Linked DNA regions of Callithrix jacchus. The main gene of each other region encodes a partner of the protein of the gene in region 2 in a complex. Links are inferred from orthologs where the notes say so. Each region holds a gene or a part of one and is shown on either strand. Other genes may lie near its edges.

What was found.
Region 1: SMARCC1 (region 2) and PHF10 share a complex: the UniProt entries of both Homo sapiens proteins name them as parts of the neural progenitors-specific chromatin remodeling complex. The link is inferred for Callithrix jacchus from reciprocal best matches to the Homo sapiens genes SMARCC1 and PHF10.
Region 3: SMARCC1 (region 2) and ARID2 share a complex: the UniProt entries of both Homo sapiens proteins name them as parts of the SWI/SNF-B (PBAF) chromatin remodeling complex. The link is inferred for Callithrix jacchus from reciprocal best matches to the Homo sapiens genes SMARCC1 and ARID2.
Region 4: SMARCC1 (region 2) and DPF3 share a complex: the UniProt entries of both Homo sapiens proteins name them as parts of the BAF complex. The link is inferred for Callithrix jacchus from reciprocal best matches to the Homo sapiens genes SMARCC1 and DPF3.
Region 5: SMARCC1 (region 2) and PBRM1 share a complex: the UniProt entries of both Homo sapiens proteins name them as parts of the SWI/SNF-B (PBAF) chromatin remodeling complex. The link is inferred for Callithrix jacchus from reciprocal best matches to the Homo sapiens genes SMARCC1 and PBRM1.
Region 6: SMARCC1 (region 2) and SMARCD3 share a complex: the UniProt entries of both Homo sapiens proteins name them as parts of the BAF complex. The link is inferred for Callithrix jacchus from reciprocal best matches to the Homo sapiens genes SMARCC1 and SMARCD3.
Region 7: SMARCC1 (region 2) and SMARCA2 share a complex: the UniProt entries of both Homo sapiens proteins name them as parts of the BAF complex. The link is inferred for Callithrix jacchus from reciprocal best matches to the Homo sapiens genes SMARCC1 and SMARCA2.

What each region holds. Positions count from the first base shown.
Region 1 is NC_133505.1:176,378,851-176,383,050, reverse strand, and holds the start of PHF10 (PHD finger protein 10), read left to right. Parts: upstream 1-1,400; 5' UTR 1,401-1,684; coding exon 1,685-1,963; intron 1,964-2,442; exon of another isoform or gene 2,443-3,009; intron 3,010-4,200. UniProt on the Homo sapiens protein: Involved in transcription activity regulation by chromatin remodeling. Belongs to the neural progenitors-specific chromatin remodeling complex (npBAF complex) and is required for the proliferation of neural progenitors.
Region 2 is NC_133516.1:30,366,093-30,369,592, forward strand, and holds part of SMARCC1 (SWI/SNF complex subunit SMARCC1), read right to left. Parts: intron 3,458-3,500; coding exon 3,344-3,457; intron 2,262-3,343; coding exon 2,108-2,261; intron 794-2,107; coding exon 680-793; intron 1-679. UniProt on the Homo sapiens protein: Involved in transcriptional activation and repression of select genes by chromatin remodeling (alteration of DNA-nucleosome topology).
Region 3 is NC_133510.1:29,508,525-29,512,024, forward strand, and holds part of ARID2 (AT-rich interactive domain-containing protein 2), read right to left. Parts: coding exon 1,107-3,500; intron 278-1,106; coding exon of another isoform or gene 227-277; exon of another isoform or gene 12-226; intron 1-11. UniProt on the Homo sapiens protein: Involved in transcriptional activation and repression of select genes by chromatin remodeling (alteration of DNA-nucleosome topology). Required for the stability of the SWI/SNF chromatin remodeling complex SWI/SNF-B (PBAF).
Region 4 is NC_133509.1:107,683,174-107,686,673, forward strand, and holds part of DPF3 (zinc finger protein DPF3), read right to left. Parts: intron 2,063-3,500; coding exon 1,902-2,062; intron 1-1,901. UniProt on the Homo sapiens protein: Belongs to the neuron-specific chromatin remodeling complex (nBAF complex).
Region 5 is NC_133516.1:35,227,355-35,231,280, reverse strand, and holds the start of PBRM1 (protein polybromo-1), read left to right. Parts: upstream 1-1,126; 5' UTR 1,127-1,291; intron 1,292-1,431; exon of another isoform or gene 1,432-1,606; intron 1,607-3,926. Other genes in the region: GNL3 (guanine nucleotide-binding protein-like 3), read right to left, coding at 226-284, 935-947. UniProt on the Homo sapiens protein: Involved in transcriptional activation and repression of select genes by chromatin remodeling (alteration of DNA-nucleosome topology). Required for the stability of the SWI/SNF chromatin remodeling complex SWI/SNF-B (PBAF).
Region 6 is NC_133512.1:96,968,451-96,971,950, reverse strand, and holds part of SMARCD3 (SWI/SNF-related matrix-associated actin-dependent regulator of chromatin subfamily D member 3), read right to left. Parts: intron 3,228-3,500; coding exon 3,016-3,227; intron 1,252-3,015; coding exon 1,209-1,251; intron 369-1,208; coding exon 246-368; intron 132-245; coding exon 9-131; intron 1-8. UniProt on the Homo sapiens protein: Involved in transcriptional activation and repression of select genes by chromatin remodeling (alteration of DNA-nucleosome topology).
Region 7 is NC_133502.1:108,563,011-108,566,510, reverse strand, and holds part of SMARCA2 (SWI/SNF-related matrix-associated actin-dependent regulator of chromatin subfamily A member 2), read right to left. Parts: intron 1,785-3,500; coding exon 1,542-1,784; intron 96-1,541; coding exon 1-95. UniProt on the Homo sapiens protein: ATPase involved in transcriptional activation and repression of select genes by chromatin remodeling (alteration of DNA-nucleosome topology).

The DNA.
Region 1 (4,200 bases), on a different chromosome or scaffold from region 2:
GTTTACAAGGAAAAGGGGAGGATTACCTAAGTTGTTTGGAAACAATTACCCTTGGCTATAAAGATCAATAACAAAGGGGATGCCGGTCCAAGATTGGGCAGCAGTAGCTGTGCACATGTCCTTAAAGCACTTTTTGTGTAGTTTTGTGGCCTTTGTGCAAGGTTGTGGTTTTGGCAGTTTTTTGTGTTAATTCTTGATATCAGGCTATTATTAGTGAGAACCTTCCCTTCGTGGCTTTCCTTGACTCCATTTTGTAACAGCTTTCACAATGCAGATAGCCGCAGAGGTTTTTTTTTTTTTTTTTTAAACGCTGAACTCTATCCGGGGAGTCTGAGCGAGGGTCCTGATGAATGAAGACAATTTAGCTGAAAGACGCAGTTGCCTCTTGGCAGATTCGGACAAGGAGTGCAGTGGAGGCTGACGCCTGCACGGGGCAGGACTGAGGAACAGGGCCCGTCTGGCCTCAGCTGCGAGAACGAAGCTGGGTCAGCAGGGCTCGAAGGCCTGGCACCGTCGGTGGGGACCTCTCGGACCGGAGCAAGGAGCCAGGCTGGGCTGGGCGTGGTGACGGTGGTTGTCAATGCGACATCCTAGAAATCATCCCTTTGTCTTCCCGAAGTTCTGTTGCTGGGGCGTAGGCAACAACAATGAATGGAAAGGAAGCGGGATTGTACTTTGAATCTGAGCGCATCCTCCACCTTCCAGAACAAGCATCTGCAGGCGCAGGTGAGGGAGGCCGTGATGGCAGCTGCGGACTGGCCAAGCTCGGCTCCTCACGTGAGGTCCCAGGGGAGCCCAGACGCAGCCGAGATCATACACCGGCTCCGCGTTCTCCCGGGGGTACCTGCCAAGCCGGCCTCAGGCCCCTCCCCGGCTCCCCGCCACCCGCGTCCTCGGCGGAGGCATCAACCACGCGGGAACGCAGGCACGCGGGCCGAATCTCGGCGACTTTTTCCCGCCGTGCCTTCCCCACGCTCCTCGGCGGGCGCCTTCGGCCCCCCGGGGCAACTGCGGATGCCCCGGGAAGCGCGGCCGGGACAGGTGGCTCCGCGGCTGTCTTCCGGCGCGCCAGCGAGAGGGGCGGCCCGAGAACAAAGGCGGGCGAGGGGCGGCGACTGCGAGCGCGCAAAGGCAGAGGCCGGGCAGTCCCCGGGCGGCTTCCGGGGCACGGCGACCCCCGGCAGGGAGGGGGCGGGGCGGGGACCCCCAAGAGGGGCGGGGCGAGGCAAGGCAAGCGCAGCGGGGCGCGGAGAGAGGGAGGGAGAGAGGGTGACGCGCGTAGGGGCCGGGCCGGGCTGGGGGCCGCGGGGAGGGGGCGGCTGCCAGTGCGCCAAGTGGAGACGAGCCGGGCCGGGGCGGGCCGGAGGGCGGGCGGGAGGTGGGGCGCGCCGCGGGCTGGTGGGAGCCGCGGCCGAGTACGACGCCGGGCCGTGGGGAGCCGGGCGGCGGCGGGGCTGAGGCAACTGCGGGTCTGAGGGGAGCAGCGGGGCTGAGGCGGCGGCGGAGGTGAAGGGAGCCGCGGCGGCAGTGAGGCCAGCGGCGGAGCTGTGGGGGGCGGCGGCCGGGCGGGTCGGGCTGACGTGAGGAGCGCCGCCGCCGCCGGGCGTCCTCCATTCCGGCCCACATCCACGCGCCCTCCCAGCCTCCGGCGCCCTCCCGCGCGGGCGGCGCGCTGGCGGCGGCCATGGCGGTGGCGGCGGCGCCGCTGGCGGGCCGCGGGGCGCGCGGCGGCAGGGGCCGGCCCCCGGGCGGGCGGGCGGAGGGGGCGGGGCCGGGGCGGCGGGGGGCCCGCGCGGTGGCGGCGGCAGCGGCGGCGGCGGCCGGGACGAGGCGGAGGCGACGGCGGCGGCGGCGGCGCGGGGCGCTCGGGCTGATGGCGGCGGCGGCGGCCGGGCCCGGGGCGGCACTGTCTCCGCGGCCGTGCGAAAGCGACCCGGCCACTCCCGGAGCGCAGTCCCCGAAGGTGAGGAAGCGGCCTGCGCGACCCGACCCCAACTCTGACCCTCTCCGGGGCCGGGGCTCCGCGGTCTCGGCCCAGTCCCACCGGCGGCCGGCCGGCGTCTCGGGGGCGTGGGCCGCAGGCTGTGCGCTGCCCCTGAGACCCGCGGTGGTCGGCGAGGCGGGGCCCGGAGAGGAGCCCCCGGCCCCAAGCGAGCAACAAGTGCGGGCGGGCGGGCGGGCGGTGCGGCCTCCCTGAAGTTGGCGGCCGGCCGCGTTTGACGAGACTGTCCCCAGACGCCTGTTCCCTGGCCAGCTGCGGGACGGAACGCGCCCGGGGCGGGGAGACGCGGCCTCGCAGGGGCCTGCATTCCGGGCATAGTTTGCCGGAGTGTTTGAAAGCTCACTGCAGAACACGCTGGCGAACGAGGCGGAAAATGCACACGGTGAACTCGGTGCGGGTCAGCGCGTACGCAGGCGTCCGGATGTTTTCAGCGGAAGTCTGCTTCTAAGCTTCGTACTGCTGGGAGGCGACAAGAACTCGGCGATTGTGGCGAGAAGGAGATGACAGTGGCTTGTCACACATCCAAACGTTTCGGTTCTAAGTTAGGCCAGCGGCTAAGGGAGGACAGAAGGTTGGAAGGAGGAGTGATGTTTTAAAAACCGCAACGCTTGAAATCGGCAAGCTGAAAGGAGAAGGCGGTGTAGTGTGCGCGCTGGCGGGGACCCGTCCTGGGGCAGCCTGGCGGGGCTGCGCCTGCCCGGGGCTCCTCCCTCCGCGCACGTCCATCCTGCTGTCAGAGAGACTCCCGCCCATGGAAGTAACTAGAGTAAGGCTGAACGCACGTTCCCGCACTGCCAGCATCGGACGTCTGGCCCGGCACCTGGAGGGCACCGAGGCACTGAGCCAGGGCCCCCTGAGTGCACCTTAGGAAGGATGTGATGCATAGAAACTCATCTAACCTGTGGGTGGAAACCACTTGGAACTCTGGAAGGCACAGCTTTGAGCCTTTGTAAACATGGGCTTCTGTACCGGGATTGCGGTTGCAAATTCTTACCTTATTCCGTCAGGTATTGGGAGCAATATTGCTGTGACTACCTACCTCTAGAAGAAGGCCCGCTGCGCACATGCTCACTTTATATAATAATGCCTTTGCCTAGAATTTATGGTAGCAATTTAAAACACTGTGTATAAAATTGTGCTCTCAGCTTTTTTGAGCACTTCACATTTTTCAGTTTCTTTTTATTTTTGTATATATTTCAGTGTCTCCGTTTTTTAGCTAAAGGGAAATATGCTGATGTTTAAGGATATAAAAATCCTTAAAATTTTCACAAAAAAGATAAAAAATGGAATGCTTAAAATGAGTTATGTTGCAAGTACTGAATATGAAATGTTGCAGTTGTGATACATGCAAATTTTCAGAGTAGATTTAGGCTACGCAGAGGTCTTTCATGAAATGCTTATTTTATAAGGTCTGAAAAAGAATACATATCTTTGGAAAAGAACCAGTAAATTTCTAGGAGCTAGAGACATTTGAGACTTGATTATCATAATCATCATTTTAACTAATATTATGACATAATTATTTGCTAGTTCTTGTTGTAAGTGCTTTTAATATAGTAGCTCATTTAATCATTGAATTAGCTGTGTAATAGGGGCAATATTATAGTCTCAAATTTTCAGATTGGAAAGTACTCACAGAAAGTAACCCCAGCTAGTGAGTGCATTGAGGATCCAGGCTGTCCAGGTTTGGCATGCCTTGGCACTATGCCATATTGCCACTTTATATTCTTTTGCAGGGTTGCTTTCATTTTAATATGCAGCAAGAGGACCCTGGTATTTAGTAAAATTGGATTCGAGTTAAAAGCAATATTACATTTTTACAAAGTATCCTTTTTAGACCTTAAGCCTTGGCTAATATGTAAATACATCAATTTCCTAACGTCTGATACTTTTACTGAGTGAGATGGTTGAATTTATAACCTTGATATTCTTGCCACATAATGGATTGCAGTTAAAATCTATAAGCTTCTTAAAAAAAAAAAATCCCCTCCCTCTCTCAACCCTCTTCTTGGTTTGTGTGTTGCTGTATTATAGATTGATGGCCCTTATTAGGGTATATTTTTGCTAAATTATAGCAATGTAAGAAGAAAAGTGAATAGTTAGAATTGATAATCTGTTTTCAGTCTTGTATGTCCTCTTTTCACAGGGGCATAAATGCCTAAAGTAGTCAAAATTGTCCTATAAACTGGCGCCTAGTT
Region 2 (3,500 bases):
ATGTCCAGCCTGTACTGTATCACATCTTTGCACTCTCCTCTCTTTATCCTAGCCCCTCCCTACTTCAATTCAATTTCTTTCGCTCTTGGTACCTAGGTTTCCACATATATACTAATTTGTCTCTGAGTTCACTAACCTATCTTTTGCTATATGCAGCCTGTTATTAAACCCATCAAATAATTTCAAGTATACTTTTCAGTTCTAAAATATTCATGACTCTTTTTTTTTTTGAGACAGAGTCTCACTCTGTTACCAGGCTGGAGTGCAGTGGTGCAAACCTCTGACTCCCTGGTTCAAGCTATTCTCCTGCCTCAGCCTCCCAAGTAGCTGGGATTATAGGCATGTGCACCATGCCCAGTTCCTTTTTGTATTTTTATTAGAGACAGGGTTTCACCGTGTTGGCCAGGATGGTCTCTATCTCCTGAACTCATGATCCGACCACCTCGGCTTCTCAAAGTGCTGCAGTTACAGGCATGAACCACCACCCCCGACCTCATGATTCTTTTCACAGATTCCAATTATCTGTTCAAATTTTCCATTCCCCCCCTCGATTTTCTCTAATAGTGTTTTTTTAAATATCACCAGATTTGAGTAGAAAACTCATTAGATGTATCATAGAAGTACTAAGACGTGCTGGATTATACCCTGCATGAGTTTAGATTAAAAACAAAATCCTTACCTTTGCTAATGTTTTCTTGGAGTAAATGTCAGTACGAAGGCCAAAGTTCTGCAAATCAATTGGTTTTTCCTTGCTTTTCTCAGGAAAATTTAGCATCTGTTGAGCAGCAGGGACCTGAGTCAAATAAATGATAAATGGCTGAGTTAACCTCTTTAAAGTCAAGAGGATAAATGTTTTTCAAAAACTGGGCCATACGCAGTGGTTCATGCCTGTAATCCCAGCACTTTGGGAGGCTGAGACAGGTGGGTCACAAGGTCAGCAGACCGGCATGACCAACATGGTGAAACCCTGTCTCTACTAAAAATACAAAAAATTAGCTGGGCACCGTGGCGCGTGCCTGTAATCCCAGCTACTCAGGAGGCTGAGGCAGGAGAATTGCCTGAACCCAGGAGGCGGAGGTTGCAGTGAGCCGAGATCGCGCCATTGCACTCCAGCCTGGGTAATGAGCGAAACTCCGCCTCAAAAAAAAAAAAAAATTGCTGGGGCTGGACACGGTGGCTCATGCTTGTAATCTCAGCACTTTGGGAGCCTAAGGCAGGTAAATCACGAGGTCAGGAGTTCCAGACCAGCCAGACTAACATGGTAAACCCTGTTTCTACTAAAAATACAAAAATTAGCAGGGAATGCAATCCCAGCTACTCAGGAAGTAGAGGCAGGAGAACTACTTGAACCTGGGAGACAGTAGTTGCAGTTAGCCAAGACTGCGCCACTGCACTCCAGCTTGGGTGAGAGAACAACACCAGCTCAAAAAAAAAAAAACTGTTTAATATTGGCACTTAAACCACTCTTGGTGGATCTCCTACAAAAAAATAAATACCCACACTTCTACACTATACTTCTAACAAAAATTCAACACTTAAGACACATTTTCGCGTCCATTTAAGTCCCAAAAAGGATAAAAAATTTTCATTACTATCTTCTATTTCACCATAGGACAAAATTCTTATACCTTAGGTTCCTGTAAATACAACTTAATGCTAAATACAATTTCCTTGACATAATCTGTTTGATAATGTATATATGAATATAAACTTTATAAATCTTAGGACAAGTTATAAAGATTTCTTTGCCTCACATTTTTAGAACAAAGACTGAAGGAAGAAAAAAAACATTTTGCATCATCTGCTTACTTATGAGTATCTGATGACAGAAGGATAAAGGAAGTTATGTATATAAAAGTAAATTAATAATTTGATAGAGTAAGGCAGTGGGTCTTGGGATTGGTGGGACAGCATTAACTTAAATAGCATATATTATTTTGGACTGTAATATTTACAGTACACCAAAACACACACACACAACCAACCATAAAAGAAATAGCACTATTAATAGCCATTATAATACAATAACAATTATTCCTAAATAGATATGCTGTAAATAGTCAGGTGTTACTATCCAGTTCTGAAGAAAAAGTCGACATTAATTTACCTGAGGTGATCGAAGATGCAGAGGCACAAGCCCAGAGGGTGTATCAGCTAATACATTAAAATGAGGAGTAGGAGGCGGTCCCATTGCCATGGGTCTACTTTCCGGGTCAACTTGGTAATTAACAAGTCCCCACTGCTCTAAAAAGGCATGGACCCTAAAGAAAAAAGCTCGAAAAGTTAAAATCTACAGAATCAACTTCAGGTGCTTTATCATCATCATCATCATCATCATCATCATGATGTTATTAAAAAACAGAAACAATAAAAGAAGTAAATATTCTCAGCAGGCTATGAAACACCACAAACTACCTGACAGATTTTGAGGAAGAATTTCTTAAGTCACAAGTAACGTTGATAACACAGCACCCCCTAAACCTATTACAAAATCTAATCATTTCAACCACAGAAATGAGAGCACAAATACATATTTAGGTCCATTTTAATAAATGAAATCACACACAGACCAAATATACACACCAAAAAAATCCACATTTTGTTTTTTTGTCTTTAGGCAGATCTAGGGCACAGAGCTTATCCACTCTCGACCTGAACCCACTCCATCCCTGCTTATTTTATGATTTGACAAAAAATTAAAAATATGAATTATAAAATCTAAAAAACTGAATTAAATATTTATTTATTCTGAGAGAGTCTCGATCTGTCACCCAGGCTGGATGACACTGCAATCTCTGTCTCCTGGGTTCTCCTGCCTCTTGAGTAGCTGAGATATAGTCATGTGCCACCACACCCAGCTAATTTCTGTACTTTTAATAGAGACGGGGTTTCACTATGTTGGCCAGGCTTGAACTCCTGTCCTCAGGTGATCCACACGCCTCAGATTCTCAAAGTGCTGGGATTACAGGCATGAGCCACCGCACCCAGCCTAAATTAAGTATTTTAAATATTCAACTCCTAATCCTGAATCCAGGGCTCACACCTGCAATCACAGTGCTTCGGGAGGTCAAGGTAGGAGAATCACTTAAGGCCAGGAGATTGAAAACAGCCTTGGCAACACTGTGAAACCCCATCATGATAACATTAAATTAAAATAATAAAATAAAAATAATTTAATTGAATGAAATAAAAAGAAACAAAATATAATCAACCCCTAAATGAGATAACTAAAATTAGGTGTTTTACCCAGTTGAAATATCCAGTTTAATCAAGCAAACATTCGATAGCAATGCATCAGTAAATTCCTACAGTGAAATGTCTCAGAAAAAGTCAAATGCTTTACCTCATTACAGCACATACATCTCCAGTTAAGTTCCTCCGACAAGCAGTGCTGGTTAAGTACTCTTGGGGGTTTAGGCGATACGTGTCAATCATAAAATTTCGATATGCCAAGTATCTAAAAATCAATGGCAAAATTCATAAGGTGGATATGTATTCTT
Region 3 (3,500 bases), on a different chromosome or scaffold from region 2:
TTTTTTTTTTTGAACTTCAAGAAGGCAACTTTATTCATTCACATGAAGAAAGATGCATATTAGTAATATCCATCAGCAACTGCAAGAGCAATAACTGTTCTGAAGCAAAGGGCTCTTCCTTTTGTTCTTGTACTTTCCATTTGGCTGCTGCCCACACCTAGGTTTGGTACTAATGCCAACAATGGCCATCTATCTGCTGTCATCACCGTAAGCATACAGAAGAAACTCAAGCCAGAACTGGGCTAGCAGAGTTGGCAGTAGTCACAGAAGGTTCTGGCTATGCAGGAATGAAAAAAAAAAAAAAAACAAAACAGAGTGAAACTGATCCAGGAAATAGGTGGTGACAACTGTTAAGAGAATCCATGAGTTCAGTCGAAAGAACATGTAAGATTGTCATCAAAATCTTTATAGCCTGATTGGACCCTCAATTTAGTAGTGCTGATTTTAGAAAATACTTGTATTTACTAAGGCATGCAGAGATGGAATATTAGGCATTAAAAAGAGAATAGCAGGAATATGACAGTAAAGCAAAGGAGTAAGAAACAGAAAAAAGTATCAGAATACCTGAAACAAACAGAAATTACAATAAATACTTTTTTAACACTAAAGGAGGCTAATTCAATACATAAATACAAAAAGAATACGACTGATAAAGTTATTACAAGATTCATCCTTATTACAAAAAGTACTATTAAAGGGGCCACTAAAACACATTCAGGTCAAAATCAAATACAGAAATCCCCATTTAGAGTACTTACTCTTAGAACCTCCATTCCCCCAACCCCTGGGCATTATACTCAAGAAAGAGATTAAGATACATTTTTTAAATTCTCCAAAAGATGTTAGATTAGCAACTGCTTCTCTACCTTGAGCCTACAAAATTATTAGTTTGAATCTATAACAAAATTGAAAGATTCTTTAAATCATGTACTAAAATTGAAAACTAGTATTATATCACCAGAGAAAAAGAACAGGACAGTTTGGATACAAGTGAGCTGATAGAGTAACTTTTCAAGGTGAGACATGAAAAACAGTGCATTTCCCTCTAAAACCTTATTTACAGATCAGAAATTTTATAAGAGAAATACGATCATAGAATAACTTACCTGTGGGACCATATTCTGTACGTATGTTGGTGGATGCTGTTGCTTTTGCTGAACAGCACTTTCTATTGCTACTTTAGCTACAGTGCTTGGATCTGCTCCAGCTGGCACAGCAACCATTGTTGCACTACAGCCAGCATTGTTGGGGTCACTGATTGTAACAATTCTAACTCCTACTTTATTTGGAATTCCTGTGACTGTTTCCCTATCATTATCCTCTGCTGGCCTCTTTACAGTTTTGCATTCTGCTGTGCCATTTGTAGACCGAACATCAGATGAAAGGGCAGGAGAAGGGGACACTTTTGATCCTGAGTCGGGAACTGCTAAGATTTGATGTCCCTGTATAACAGAGGTTGTAGAATGTGGTGAGACAACTACACTTGGGCGTTGCTGAGGCACATCTGAATTCAAACAGGAAGCTAGAGGTCCATTAGGAAAATCAGTACCACTAAATTGTTGTGTTGCCATATTTGAAGCCTCCTGTATACTGCTCACAGATGATGAACCACCCAAAGTTAATACAGGTCCATTAGGAATTCTTTCCAGTTGATCACCTTTGGCAGTATCTTGCTGAGTGACGTCTAAAGTCCCTTGAGGTTCCACTGGAGATATCTCACCATTTCCTACATGATTGGAAGTTTTGTGATTTGGAATGTTTTTGCTTAAATGAGAACCATCTCCTTTATCAAAATCACAGATTCCATTAACTAGCGGTTTTTTCAAATCACTTTTGATATCCTGCATGTCTATTTGTTCTGAGTTCTGTTTTCCAGATGCTCCATTCTCACCTAATTCCACTGACGGCCCATTACTGATTAGTGAGCACTGATTAGTCTCACTTTGAATCTTCCCTGAGTTTGAAGGAGGTAGACTTGAGTCACTGTACTTTCTCCCATTTAAAAGACTTCCCAACTGCATTTCATTTTCCTTTGTATCCCCATTGCTGGTGTTTGTGGTTCCTCGTCGGCAGGACGGGTTCTCCATGACTTCAATTTTACGTTCGTGAACATGTAAACCTGTTGCTTCCTTTGCTTCCTCCTCCTTTTGGCAAATTATTTTATCACCTTTGAATGGGGGAGTAGCAGTAGTACAGGATGATTGTCCAGCAGGAGATGCTTGAGTGGCTGGAAGTGTTTGCACTGGAAGTCCAACTCCTGGTTGCGTTCCGCTCATGGTAATGCCTGCTGGAGCAATGAGCTGAGTTGCATTTCCCTGACTCACGGTTGCAGTTGCAAAACTTGTATTTGGCACAACTGTTATGGTTACCTGGTTGCCAGAAGTCCCTTGGAAAATGGTTGCTGGGCTATTTGAGATCAGTGGGCCTGGCAATATTTGTAAGTTCGAAATGGGCACAGTTTGTACTCCCCCTGTGGATGGCATTGCACTTTGGACCAACTGAACATTTTGCTGCCCAACCAATAGCTGCTGAGCTGGAGTTTGCCCCTGCACTCCAAAACCTGTGGCTTGGTTACTGGCCACCTGATAGACCACCTGAGGGCTAGGCGCTCTTGCATTATTAGGGGGAGGAATCTGTGGAGCTGGAAGAATAAGCTTACCACCTGGTGTTGAAGGACCACGTTTTGGAAGCAGAAGCTGTTTAATCAGACTCGACTCACCAGAAGCAGGCTGACCAACTCCTGCATTTGACTGCTGAGGTTGAACTTGCATCTGTACTTGTTGGGGCTGCTGAACTTGTACTTGTACCTGCTGTGGTGGGGGTGCTGGTGAATGCTGCTGCTGTTGCTGTCTTTTCACAGATAACATTTGACTGACAGTAGGGGGTGGTCCCTGTGATTGAGAGGTGGAAGAAGACGACATGGCAGTAGGGACTTGGTTATTAGTAGCTGGGACAGGTGATGGTGAAGATGATGGAGTTATGCTAGGTTGTCCAGTTAGCTGAACTGTCTGACCAGTTGGAAGAGCTGCTGGATTAGCAAGAACAATTTGGTGAATGGCTGGTGCATAAGTCTGACCTTGTTGAGCTGGCTGGCTTACAATTACTACACTTTGTTGGGTTGGCTGCTGTGGTTGTTGAATAGGCTGCTGTACTACTGTTGATGAAATTTGCTGAGAAGGGAGAGGTTTTGGTGCAATGTTCTGAAAGCCTACCCTTGAGGGTTGTGGACTTGGGACACCAGCAATGGTAACCATTTGTCCTGTAGTTACCTGAAAATTCTGTACTGAAGTTGCTGAGACAATATTGGATGCAGGAGTTGTTACGTACTGTGGGGGTGCTATGATAACAGTATCTTGTGACTGGCTACCAGTTGATGTCTGTTGAGATGAAGTTTGCACAGGTTGAGGTGATGTGGTGATTAACTGTTGACCCTGTGAAACTGTAGAAGTACAAGCTGGTATGTTCTGTACTCTGCCAAATATATGACTCTGTGGGACAGC
Region 4 (3,500 bases), on a different chromosome or scaffold from region 2:
AAACAATGACCAAGCCAGTAGCAATGACCACCACCAGACTGTGGTCTCTGAGTAACATTTCCTACAGAAAGAAGCCAGAATTTCTTCAAGAAATAGCTGATTTCAGGCCTGGAGAGCCAGAAGTGTACAAGATGAGCCTGATATATTTTATCCTAATAGTAGGGTGGCAAAAAGGCTATCAGAAACTACTGGGGTTGTTTCAAATCACCAGCACTGGCCAGAATCCTGAAGGACCAAAGATGAGGCAAGGTACGCATCCTAAGAGTAATAGCTACACTGGATTAAAATACATCAAATATGTTTACATCTGTGAGTTTCTGGTGGTATTCAAAAAAATAATTACTATTACATTGATCATCTTTGGAGAATGCTAGAGAACCAACTCATTATTTTGAAAACTGGTAAACAGAGGGGAAAAAAGTCATTTATCCTGCCTTTCATATGTGAACTGTATCTCGCAATAACTAAAACTTTAATGAGGGAATGTTTTTCTTTATAGAAGTTGCAGAGCTAACAAATGAAGATATAATGATAGTCCTGGATTGGATATTAACTTTTTGCAACACTTAATGGGATAAAAAATCTAGGCAATTATCATGAAGGGCTAACATCAGTAAAAGGTAACCAGACTGTATGAGCCTCCTGATGAAAGTACACACTACCACTTAGGAGTTGTTCTTGCCCAAAAAAAAAAAAAAACCTTGAACCTGAGTAAGTCTCCAGACCTAACTACCAATTCATAGGAATAACACTGTGGGGATGCAACCACCAAATCCTTCTGGGAAACCCCACAGGGTAAGCAACCCAGCATCTTCAACAGGTAACACGCAAGAAGGAAAGAGAGAGTCACAGGCAGAGACAGAGAGAAACCCAGAGATGTTAAAAGACACATCAGTCACTTGCAATGTAGGGCTTCCATTTGGATCCTGATTTAAACTACAGGGGGAAACATGAATGTTGACCAAATATTTGATGATATCAAAGTCTTATTGCTAATTCTTTGAGCTGTGATAGTGATTGTGGGTTGATTTGTTTGTTTAAGTTCTTTACCATTTAGAGATACACAACAAAATATTTACGGATAAAATCATGTGCTTTCGTGGATTTGCTTCCAAATAATCTGAGGTCAGGGAGGAAAGTGAGAAGTGCGTATAAATGAAACACGATTGACCTTGAGTTGATCACTGTTGAAGCAGGGTTACATGGAAATTTGTTTGACTGTTGTCTTCAGTTTCATATAAATGTGAAATTTTTCCAAATAAAACGTTTTAAAAAATAGAGTCAGACAGAGCCAAAAAGTCACATTCCTGTAGCCATCTCCCTAATAAGAAGGTCTTTATTCTGTTCTTTGGGGCCTAGAAGACTAGTGTCCTGTAGTCGTAGTAATAACAGTAATAATAATAATAGCCAGCAATTTGGAAGCTCATACTTAGCATGTGCTAAACTCATGTTATGAGTTTTTATCAAACTTCCCATTTATTTCAGACAAAATCTTATGTGGTAAGTACTATTATTCACATTTTACAGATGAAGAACCTGAGGGACAGAAATTTGATGACAAAGCTAGGCCTCACACTCAGATCTAACAGCAGATTTCCAGCTTGTAACCAACACCCAAAGGTAAAAGATGAAGATTGCTGTCATGTCCTCGGTCTGGCCTTCTTTGGGATAAACACCTTTAGCTCTTTCACTTCCCACCCTACCCCACCCCTGCCACATGGCTTCAATGACTCACACGCATTCCTTGGAACACCTGCCATGAGTATAAAAGTAGCTGAGTTTCTTTAAGGTATCTCAGAGGCCCATGTGCAGCTTGCCCCGCCCCGATCCCACCCAGGCTGCCTGGATTCCCAGACAAGCTCTGGTCTTCCTCCCTCCAGAGCAGGAGTGGCATAGCTCACCTGGGCCTCGGTGCCTCTTCTCCATCCAGATGTAGCAGTTGTTCTGGGCCACCCCAGTCTGTGAGTCCAGGAAGGGAAGGCGCACGCTGCGCTCTGCACACAGCCGGGAGTTGTAACTCCGGCAGTGCTCAATGGCTTCCTTGTAGAACTGGTCCCCGAGCCTGCCAGAGTCAGAGAGTGAAGGAGTGAGGCCAGGGAAAACTGAAACACACCCAGAGGGAAACTGATGTCAAACACCCACCTCCCTGGGAAGACTGAAGATCTCCCAGTTATGAAGACCAAGGCAATGAGCACCAAGAGCCTTGTGAACGAGCAGAATGCAACTCAGTGTCAGGTCTTGACCAGGTTTTATTTTCTATCCCAAATCCGCCAAGCAACTTGGAAACTCCTTTAATAAAGAGCATGGGCTTTCAAGAATGAATCACCAGTAAGAGAGAACGGTCCATGTTCTCAAAGGCATAGGTCCCACTCCAGAGGGGAGGTAGCTCGGGAACAACCTTATGTACAGAATCTAGAGGGCATCGTGCTTCTAGAACCTCCTCACTCCTACTGGCTACGTTTTGTTCTCAGAAGTCACCAGCTAAGGCACTCTAGGTGAACCCAAACCACCAGCAAAGATACCCAGTTTTCCATTACAACGGAAGAGAAACACTCCATATAAACAAAAACTAGAAGGACAGAGGAAACATTCTATAAAAGTAGGGCTATTGCAGGAGGAAGGAGGCATAGAGGAACAGGCACCAATCTTTTAAAACTGTATTACTTAAAGAAAAATAATTTTCTGAGAAAAAACTAACGGAATTCAACAATTTCGAATTCAAAATAATTCAACTCACGGAGTTTAAAACACAAATAGAAAGACCTTTCTGGTTTGCTGGACTGAGAATCTGGTTAAGCACAGTAAATTTTACATTCCTGACTCTGGTTTTTGGACACGTGGTGATGGTACTGATTTTAAGGTAGTGTCCTTTTCAAAGACCAAAAATAGAGCACGATATAATTGATCAAATGCAAAGCACTAAAATAATCAATGAGATCAAATGCCTAACAAATAAAATATAGGCACAGACTAATAAATGCCTCAAGGAAATACACATAACATAACCTATGCCAGGTAAATTTAAGCCTCTTCCTGGGGTCGGGCGGCAGGGGCACAAAGGAGTGCACGGTGGGAAGAATAAGTAGAAAGGGAAGGAACCACAGAGGTCATAGGGCAAAAGGGAGAATCAAGGGTTTATTCTGAAGCAATATTGTGATGTCTTTCTGTTTTCATTCTATGTAGATTTCAAATTGGATTATAACAGCTTAAAATGAGAGGGAAAGTCTCTAAAAATAACATTTCTTAACCCAAGTATTTGGAAGAATTTTTAAAAAGCAAAATTGGGATTTTGTTTCAATGTCTTAATTGTGGTAAAATACACATAACATGAAGTTTCCCATGAAGCACATGCAGACAACAGTGCTTCCAACCACCACTACATCCACTTCCAGAATTCTTTCATTTTGCAAAACTGAAACTCTACCCGTTAGACGACAACTCCCCATTCCTACTCTGCTCCCATCTCTGGCAACTACTATTCTGCTTTCTATTTTTTTTTT
Region 5 (3,926 bases), about 4.9 Mb from region 2:
TATGTGGAAATTAACATGCTGAACAAGTTTACAGACTCATCACCAAATCACTGCTCTTTCTCACAGCCACACTTCTGATGCCCAAGAGCTGCCATGATCAGTCTATCCAATGCCATTTCCTGAAACCAAATCATATTAACCCAGACTTTCCCTTTGCAAATGAATAGGGCAAATGAATCAGTTTAGCAATGTGTTTGGTATAGCTCTCCCAACTACTACACTTACCTTTTTTTGGATTTTATACCGCTTATGGCAGGTCATGCGTTTACTGGCTTTCTTTAACTCTACAAAAAAAATAAATAATCACATCACAAATGTGTTAATGCAAATGATTAGTTCTGGGTGAACGCACTATGGAGTTATACCCTTTTTTAATGTTATTGGCTGCCAAAGCTAACGTTAAGACTAATGCGAAATGCCTAATACAGACATACATGCCCACTCTCAAATCCTAGAGAATCTGATTCAGTAGATCCAGAATGGAGTCCAAGTTCTCTGCACTTACTGTTACAATATTAGAATGGGATCATACACAGCAGCGTATGAGATCCAAAATGACAGCCACTTCGTGTAAAACAGCACGAATTCAAGAGAGGAACAGAGAGTCTGGGAGGCGATGTGTGCACCTGGCCCGGTATGCACGTGACCAGGGAAGGAAAAATATTGGGCCTGAAACCTAGCTTAAACGCTGCTTCCTTCCGAAAATCTAGCCTAGTCTTGCCCACCCTCCGCCAGGCTTCCTTCTGCAGAATGAGCCCACGCCTAGGATCGGCGTAGGGCCTTCCAAATCGGTTCTACGAGAAAACAGGGCCAAGGCCTACGCGCAGGCTCCCACCTCCATGCCCGCAGAGACCAAGCCGTAAAAGAGTGTCGTAGTGGCTGCAGCAACTACCAGACATGGGTCCCTCCACGCCCGCCTTTTGATCCCACTTACTAGGCCGCTTCATGTTGGTTGTAGAAAGTGGCGCAAGGACAACAACTTGCCTCCGCTGGCGCCACGTGTGAACTGAGGCCACCGACGAGGGTCACGTACGTACGTTCCCGCCGTAAAGTGCGTCACCGCCTCTCTGCGTGCGCGCGCACGCAGTGTCGCGCGGAGCAGGGATCACTTGGCGGCGGCGGGGCTGATTTTGCGGCGGCACCGGGAGGGGTAAGGGAGGTGAGGGCGGCGGGTGCCGGAGCGACGGCAGCGGCCACGGCCGGAGGAGCTATAGCAGCAGCCGTGGCGGCCACGGGGCGGGGCGCGGCGGTCAGTGACCGCGGCCGGGGCTGCAGGCGGCGGAGCGGCTGGGTAAGGCCGGGCCCTGGGCGGGTGGGGCCGCTCCCCCTCGCCCAGCTGCCGGGCCTTTGTGTGGGCCCGGGCGGGCGGGAGCCGCGGCGGAGGCCCCGCCCCGGCCGTGGGGAGACGCGCCGGTCGGGCCGGGCGCGCGGGGTTGGGCGGGGCGTGGCGGCGGACCTCGGGACGGGCACGGTAGCCCTGTCGCACCTGCCGGCAGGGACAAAGGCGTACTACGGCCCGGAAACTCCCCGCGCCACTCTTTCCCGCTCGTCGCGGGGCAGCTTCAAAGCTGTCAACGTTTCCCTCAGTCCCCAATACCAGTGACAGGTCGGGAAAGTCCTTCATTTCCTCGGTTGCTCAGGGCCTGCTTTTTTGTTATTGTTTCTTGACGGTTCGACACAAACTCTTAGTGATTTTCTTTCTTTATTTTTTCCGGGTATTTTGATCAATGGGACTTGTATTTATAAGTAGAGGCCAGATATTTCAGCTTCTCATCTCAACACTGCAAAGAATCCGGGATTTTGGGAACTGTATTTCTTGGTTTGGGGAAGCACAGTTTTGTTATAATAAGGGAGAAGTTTTAATTTAAAGGGGCAGAAAGAGTTGCAAAAACAGAGAAAAAAAATCTGGAAAAATAAGTACACGGTATAATGGATATAGAAATTCTTACAATTATAGAAGCGTGTGTTGGAGCAAAACATTTTAACTTAATTTCCGACACACTAGGACGCTCGACAAATAATTTCAGGGTTTTTTTTTTCCTCCCATTTGGCTATGTGCTTTTCCTCAAAAAGTGCAAATAGGACTCGTGCACGTGAAAGAGTAGCGTAATTTTTGCTTTATTACTTACAGGTTGCCCATATTTAATTTTGAGCTTCAAAATGGAAGATTGGAAAAATATGTTTTGAAGAGTTGTTTCAGATTAAAACAATAAAGAGCTTGTGTGTGGATGAATGGAAGGGGCTTGACCGCTTTCTTTGGCTTTGGGAATGTACAAAATACCTCAAATGTTAATATCCTACCAAAATTCCCAAGATAAGTACATTGTGGTATAGCTATATAATAGATTAGTATCAAGCTATCAAACATCATTAGGAAGAATGTTGACTTGGAAGAATCTTCATTAAGTTAAAACACAGGCTGTAGAATAATACATTTGGTTTGTTAGCATTTCGGTAAAATAATAACAGGTAACTAAGGCATAGATAAATACCAAAAATTGTGAATGACAACATTAAGAATGGTTTTTTTTTCTCTGAAACAGGTTTATAGTTGTTTTTTTTTTTCTTTGAGTCCTGTTTTCCAAGATTTTGTTTTAAGCATGTATTGTAGTGCTAAATATTTCTAGAAATACAGGAAAGGGCTAAAAGTTCATAAACTGTCAAAATACACCATTTGTCTATAATGTCAGTAGTCTCCCAGTTGCACATTATTAAGTATTCTTAACTGTCCACTATCAGTTATTGATTGTCAGATTTTTGAACTTGTGACTATAATCAAGGCTGTTTTAAAACTTGGAATTGAACTCTGAAATCTGTCTTTCCTCTTCATGGAAAAACAGACAAATTTGCTAAAGCGATACTTATAGTACTTTTTTTTTTTTTGGAGGTAGGATCTCACTTTGTTGCCCAGGCTAGAATGCAAGTAAAGTGATCATGGCTCACAGAAGCCTTATATACTCCTAGACTCAAGCAGTCCTCCCACGATGGCATCCCAAGTAGCTAGGATTACAGATGTGCAGCACCACACCCAGCTAATTTTTATTTTTGTAGAAACAAGGTCAATCTGTATTGTCCAATCTGGTCTTGAACTCTGCCTTAAGTGATCCTTCTGCTTCAGCCTCCCCAAGTGCTGGGATTACAGATATGAGCCCCTGTGCCTGACTCAGGCCTTTTAAACTATACAAACAAACTTCTTTTTTTAAAGGTCCCACTTAAGTGCACCTTTTTTTTTTTTGAGACAGAGTCTCACTCTGTCCCCCAGGCTGGAGTGCAGTGGTGTGATCCTTGCTCACTGCAACCTCTGCCTCCTGGGTTCAAGCAATTCTTGCACCTCACGCTCTCAAGTATCTGGGATTAATGGGCATGCACTACCTCGCCTGGCTAATTTTTTGTATTTTTAGTAGAGACGGGGGTCTCACGGTGTTGGTCAGGCTGGTCTTGAACTCCTGACCTCAGGTAATCTGCCGGCCTCGGCCTAAGTTGCTGGGATTACAGGCGTGAGCCACTGTGCCTGGTCCTAAGTGCACTTTTAACACATTAATTAAAAGATAAATTGAGCACCTAATCTATACTAAATACTATTCTATAAGACAGGGCTATAAAAATGAACAAGATGCTGCTCCTGTGCCTGGGGAACATGCAGAAGTGATTTCATGGACATCATTTCACTGTTCCAACGATCTGAGAGATACAGGAACACTTGATATTCTTTTTGTTTGAATCCGTCTCTCGCTCTGTCACTCAGACTGGACTGCAGTGGTATGATCTCGGCTCACTGCAACCTCCGCCTCCTGGGTTCAAGCGATTCTTGTGCCTTAGCCTCCTGAGTAGCTGTGTTTACAGGCATGTACCACCACACCCAGCTAATTTTTTTTTTTTTTTTTTTTTGTAGAGACAGGGTTTCACCATGTTGGCCAGGCTGGTCT
Region 6 (3,500 bases), on a different chromosome or scaffold from region 2:
GGACGTACATCATCCAGGAGCTTCCCCTCTACCCGCAGCTCCCAGGAGGCAATGCTGCCATCGGAATCCTCAGCATCAGGCTTCGCAGGGTTAAAAGTGTTGGAGATATAAAGACGCAGCTTCCGCTTTTGCTGTAGAAATAGAGTGTAGAACCAAGTGAATGCTGTGTGCTCCCACCCTGACCACCTTGCTTCCCCATCCTGGGCACGAGACTGAGTCCCCCTCCTACCCCCAAACTAAGGCACCTTCATGGGCCTCTTGAGAGCCTCCTGGATGTCCACCCGCTTCCTCATGATGGTTTGATCCAGTTTCCTCTCAAACGCTAAGAGGTCCATGTAAGCCTGGGACTCGGGGACCAGCTCCCGAATCTGGAGAAGGAAGAACAGGGCAGAAGTCAGAGGCTTCAGTCCAGGGTTGTACCATGGAATGTATGCATGTTGTGTGATCCTAGGGTACAAAAGATGTGGAGGGGAGCCATCCTACTTCTGGGCATGGAGCTTTCACAGTGGGAACAGGACCTCTCTCCTCAGAATGCCATTATCTAGCAGTAGGGCCCTCTCTGTGTAGGGAAAACAATTGCTTCTCCCTTTAGGAAGAGCCATGCGTTTCATCATCAGAAGAGGAGATAGTAACTGTGGAGCCCAGCAAGCACTAGTCTTTAGTCTCCTCATCTTATCATTTTCCACGTCATACACCTACTGGGCTTCCCCTGGGCCCTGCAAAGTGCATAGTAAGGGCTCGGTCCCTGAGACAAGTTGGACAGTGGTGTTTGCTTCGCTGCTGGCACCTCGTTCAGTCCCTGCACCTGTCCCAACTGTGCTGTCCTCATACCTAGCTGGACCTGGGTCCCTTTAGGATGCCCAGGATCTCTGGCCACCTTCTATCACCTTCATTCTGCCTGGCAGCCTCTGATCCCCTAGCCCTTGTCCCCTCCTGGGCCTACACCTTTAGGTCTTAGTGTCCAATCCCCTGACCCTCAGCCCTGTGTTCTGGCCCCAGTGGCTCTGCTGCTTCCCTGCACCCCACTCCCTCCCTCTGGCCTGGGGAGCCTCACTTATTAATGAGCTTTTTTAAACAAAAAGTGAAAGTGACTGTAACGCTGAAGCTCTGCTTCTGAGGGGGGAGGGGAGGCAGCTTGGGTTGGGGGAGAGGAGGGCGGAGCAGCAAAGGGTTGGGGGTGGGCTGGGGCTGCTGTGAAAGGCACTCACCCTTTGAGGGAGGATTTTGTCAGCCATCTTCCTCCTCTTGGCACTGTACATTTTTTAAAGAAAAAAACAGGTTACCATGGCGACAGATCTGGGAGTAACGAGGCCACCTGCTAAATTATCCCGACATCTCTGCCTGCCTGGCTGGGGTTCCCACAGCCGGCTTGTCTGCCTGCCCAAGGGCTATGACGGTTGTGTGTGGAACTGGTGCTCTGTCCTCTCTCAGGACATAGGGGTGTCCCATCCAATATTCTCTGGCCTGGGAGCCCCTTCCACCCCGCCACATCCTTAGGGACAGAAAAATTTAGACTTAGGAGGGACTGGTGGGTGGGGGCGGTGCTTCCAAAGATGGGAGCTGCAGAAGTGTTGGAGGAAAGGTGGGGATCAGGGAGGACAAAGGAGAGGGAAGCCAGGTTCTCAGGACCTTTTCTGCAAAGCAGGAGGGGGTGCCCTGTCCAAAGGGGTCTAAGCTCAGAGGGGAGAGAGATGACCTCCTTCCTATCCATGGAGCAGGAGGTGATGGTGTGAAGCTGGTGGGACTTGCATCCCAGCCAGCCGCCCTGGGCTTGGAAGAGAGAACGATGATGGGCAGGGGGTGCTCATGTCTGTGGCCTACCTACCAACAGGGTGAGGGACACACTGCAGCCATAGGGGCCCAGAAGTGCATGGATGCTCTCCTGTGTGGGTATGACTTCAGGCTGGGGCAAAATTGACTAGGCCTGTGGTAGTAGCAGCTGGATGTGGGCTCTTTCTGACCCATTGTTGCTTCTGACTCCCCCAAAAAACCTTGGCGGGTCAAGAGATGAAAACGCAGCCTAGAGAATAGCTTCATACTGCCCCCGTGTGGTATTTTCAACCACTGCCCCCTCCCTATGCAGAAATCGAAGGCTAACAAGCAGATTTCATTAAAGGTCCGATTTGTTTTAAACAGATTATGTGTAACTCTCCATTTATACAAGATAAATCAGGGAATTACCATTTTCTGTACAGATGACGATGCGCTTTGCAAAATAATTCATCATGGGATTCCTATAAGTGTGAATTTTCCCTGATGTGTAAAAAATACTTAATAATGAGATAAAATTGATATTACACCTTTTATGGAAATCCATCTGTTGTGCAAAAAAAGCATGTGTATTTGGCTAAATACTGAGACCCAGAGGAGCACTGCTGTTGCCAGGAGCCATCAGGGGCTTTGAGGGTGTCACCAGGTGCTGGAGGAAAGAAAGAAATGGACTGGCCCTGGTGACTTGGGAGTAGACCTGGTCCAGAGTGCCTAAGAATTAAGAGCGGGACTGGGCATAGACCATCTACCCACCGGGCAAATCCCCAAGCTCCACCCCCATGGCCAGAGAGTCCCATTGAGAAAATCTGGAGTGGCTTTGAAACAGCCCAAGGGGGGCTGGCAGGAAGGCTCAGCGGAGAACCACACTTCGGGCAACACAGTCTTACAGCTCTGCCCTCAGTCCCATTGGAAGCCCCGCCCCACCCCAAAGACTGAAGCATCACCCAGAACCTGACGGGTGAAGAGAGGGTCTGAGCAGGTGACAAGGAGAAGGGTGAGGGGAGCGTGCAGGGAAGCGGTACTAGCTGCGGAGGGTCGCAGCCTGTCTCTACTGGGGGCACACAAAAGAATCAGGCCGGTGCCCCCTAAGCCCACCTCCCCAGAGGGCATCCCACCCAGGAAGCCTCGCTCACTGCTAATCATTCTTCCTCGCCCCTTCCAATCCCCGTTACTCGCCCACCTGGTCCCTGCGGGTCCCCAGGGCCCGCCTCTGCACGCCCCCTCCGCGCCGGGCCCCCCACTCACCTGCGGCTCCGCGCGGGGGCGGTGGGCACCGGCTGGCCCTGGCTCTGTGCCTGGCTCTGCCCGGGCGGGGGCGCTGCTCGCTTGCGGGCGGGCTCCATGCCCGCGGGGGCCAGGCCGGGTCGCACGGCGGGGCTGCCCATGTACGGGGAGCCCGGGGGGCCCATGGGCGCCCCCTGGTGGGGCATCCGGGCTCCAGACGGCATCCCGGGGCGCTGGGGGTGGGGCGGGGGTGAAGCAGAAACGGGCGCCCGAGAGTCAGACCAGGGCCCGCGCTCCAGGCGCGGTGAGCCGGCGTCTCCCCTCCCCCCCAGACCCTCGGCTGGTGACCCTGAGCGCTGAGCGATGGGTGGGAACGATGGGTAGGAGGGGCAGGGGCGCCGGAATCCGCGCGGCTCTGGCGGAGGGGCTTGGCGTCTGGCTGCAGTAAGCTAACTGAAGCCAGGCAGCGCACAGGGCATTGCGAGCCTCGGGGCTGCGGAAGGTAC
Region 7 (3,500 bases), on a different chromosome or scaffold from region 2:
TCAACTTCTTTCTTCAGTCTCCTTAGTAAAAATGGTCTTAATACCTTATGCAGACGTCTGATGATCAATATAGTTTCTTCTTCATTTAAGTCCACCTATAAGAGAGGCTTATATAAATTTGATTTTTTTAAGAAAAGGATAAAAAAAAAAAGGACATTTCATACCATAAAGCTTTATGTTACATTTATGTGTTTCAATACATGATTGAAATTTTACATGCATTAAATCCAGGTTTATGTCTGTTATACCCACCTCTGAATTACCTTTCCACCTGCCTACCAAGCAGTAATAAAATTACCTCTAAATAGGTGTCTTTGTCTTAATGCTGAGTTCTGTGGAAAAGAGCCCAGAAGCTACCAGTTTTCTATCAGTGGTGTCAACAGCCCCACATTGTATGTGGTATCACTGATGATGAAGGTGACAGAATGAGAGAAGGGGGGCAATAAGTTGATATGTTTCCGATTTAAAGGGGCAGCCTTAAATTAGGCTCTTCATCTTGGTTGTTTCAGTCACAGAAAAATACTAAAGGAACAGAGGTTTGAACATATAAAGAAGAGGATCAAAAGTAGAGTCTATCCAGTTTATGTTGGTGGCCCTGTAAGTCCCTCTAACTTCACTCCTTTCCTTTTCTCAGCCCTCTCTAGTTCAACTTTAGTCCTTTTTATAGATTTCCCAGCTTTCTCTTTCACCTTCTCCTACTAACCTCTAGGGGGCAGAGTTGATTGAGACTACTTTCTACAAATTGGCAAGCCAGTGAGTTAACTATTGACAGGGGGCCCAGGTGCCTCAAAATTAAAGGGCCAAACAATTCAAACCAAAATTTTGCTAAAGCATTTTTAGTGGCCTTTCATTCCTACGAATGAGGAACCTCTATGAAAATGACATGTGCCCATTTCTTTTCTTGCAATGGCCCATGTCTTGCTTTCACAAATGAGCTCTTAAGACAGTGGAAGGAACGGTAAGAAATTTGAAAACAAATGGCTACTCCAGGAAGACTTTTTATTTACACACAAAACTGAAACTCACACTAAAACCTAAAAAAAAGAAATAGAAAAAAGGTCTGCAGAAAATTAGTGAAAACTAGTTCTGTTTTACACACAAACTCTTTATGTGGAAATATTTTAAAGGGAACTTCCAAGCTTATAACAAGGAAAGATTTGTTTTAAAGCTTGTATTTAGTTGGTTAATTTGGTCTGCTTAAATTAATTCAGCAAAATATCTCCATGTTCATCCCTCCCTGTGACCCACTGCAGTTAAGCATTCCACCGGTCAGGACCCTTTTCTGGTAGCCTGGTAAACATGCTGGCAAAAGACAAAGGGGTTAGATGCCCCCAGTACCACTAGACCCATTTTCCCAGGAGGGGAAAATAACCCTGACAGAAGACCACGTCCACCCATTGATGGGTTTCATAAACTATGCAACACTGTCAACCACCCTGCAGGTGTTCTGTGGCTGTAATGTTCTCAGCTTTAGGGCCTTTCATTTCATTTCATTGTCATGTAGTGGAAAATAGTGGAAAAAACAAAAGTCAGACCAGTACCCTTTCACCAGTCATGGCAAATGGAGCATTAAACCATTGTTCGAAAGTGCTGCAGCTCTTAAAAATTGTGGGGAGGAGGAAGTTGAGGAGGGCCCAGAGTTCAGGGAGTTTATTCTGCAGCGGGGTCCCAGTCAAGAGGATCCTTCTGGGGGCCACGTAGTGAGTGTTCAAGACCTGAGTCAGCTTGCAGTGGTGATTCTTCATTCGGTGGCCTTCATCCACTATCATGTATTTCCACCGAATCTGTAACACAAGAGAAAGGATGGACATGTGATAAGCAAGGGAAAATAACAACTATTTCCCACAGGCAAGTGGTGGTGTGGAAAACCAAAGAACCCATCCTTGGTACATGATATGCTATGATTATCTTTAAGACAAGAGAATCTCAACAATGTCCCATGCCTGATAGGCCACATAAGACATCCTGTAATAACAGTGTTGAAGCAACAATGTTCCTTACCGACCATGTAATTCCAAATCAACTTCTTACAAAGAAGGAAATTTGGGCCCAGGATGATATGCTTGTTCCTACATGTGGATTGTGCATCTCCTCATCCAACGCCCCTTCTATTAATACTGTATCATGACAGCTATCCCACATTTCATGGTCATGCTACCTCTGCTCACAACAGGCACAGAATACAGGTACCCACTTGAAGCAGAAGTTAATGACCGATTTTTCCAAGATGGCCCTAGCAGGTTCTATAACTGAGATATTCTTGGCTCCATGCCTTCTTTTCTATTAGCCTGGCTGGTTACTACCTTTAGGGCTTGGCTCAGAAGTGTGTTTTGTTTTGTTTGGACTGGTTGCTAACATTTAAAAGTTGGACTATTTCACATAAAATCTATACATACAGCTTTTCAAAAATTAGTTCTGACAACCAAACTCCCTCAATCCATGCACATTCCTTACCTGTCAGATCTAGGACCCCTGTTTTATCTAAAATAAAAGGATCTATTCACTGGCAGAAAGGGCAATACAAAAATATAATTCCTCTATTTATGCCAAAACTGCAGAATTAAATACAGCAAACTTCCCCAACGTGACTATCGCTTAAAACATCTAGAAAGCTTACATGGCCCAGTCCTCCTTCCCGTCTACACAGTTCCCTTCCTCTCTCATAACTTACCCTTCAGTCCTCTTAAGAGTCAGTTTTTTAAGGTGAGAACAATGAGGAATGTTCCACTAAGCCTATCCATTCTCTACAAAACAGTGGCAATGGCCAAGAAAAACATCTGGTGCTCAGATGTCCCCAGATCCTGCTGCAAAGCTCCTAGAGAGAGAAGTGAGATGAGGAAAGTATTCTATACAGTCCTTGTCTTCCTCATTAGAAGCAGCAGATATGCCAGGGGAAAAGGTATAAAATCAGTCAGGCTGGGATGTACAGGTTTAAAAAAAAAAAACTACCCCATTTTTTTTTCCTTCCTCCACAACCTCTAAGAAAAGTGTTTAAGGATAATTAAAGCTGTACAATCAACTACCTCAAACTTACCAATAGCATGAAAAGAGGCAAGCAGACAAAACATATACAAATCTTCTAAATCTACTTTCCTGCCTAATTTAGCTTACAAAATAATAAGGAATCAGAGGCCTTTGATTTTTCTATTGGGTCTACTACTAATTAGGTCTTCCACTTGGAAAAAATTACTACCCCTTTCCCTAGCTCCATTTCTCCGGTAACAAACAAAAGCAGTGCATCTCGTTATCAGGCGTCTCCAATGAATCTTGAAATACATATGCAAAAGACACAATACGAATTTTTTAAAAAGGATCCCAAATGTACAAACACATTCCCATAGTAATATTGAAAACACATCATTTCTGACACTGCCAAATTCCTCTCTGAGTGTGAGGAGGTGGAACATAGCACTGTTGCCAGTGCCATCTCAATTATTAAACCTCCCCTGGGAGCAAATTTCCTTTTTGTTATTTCCTATGATGCCATGAAGGGAACTCTC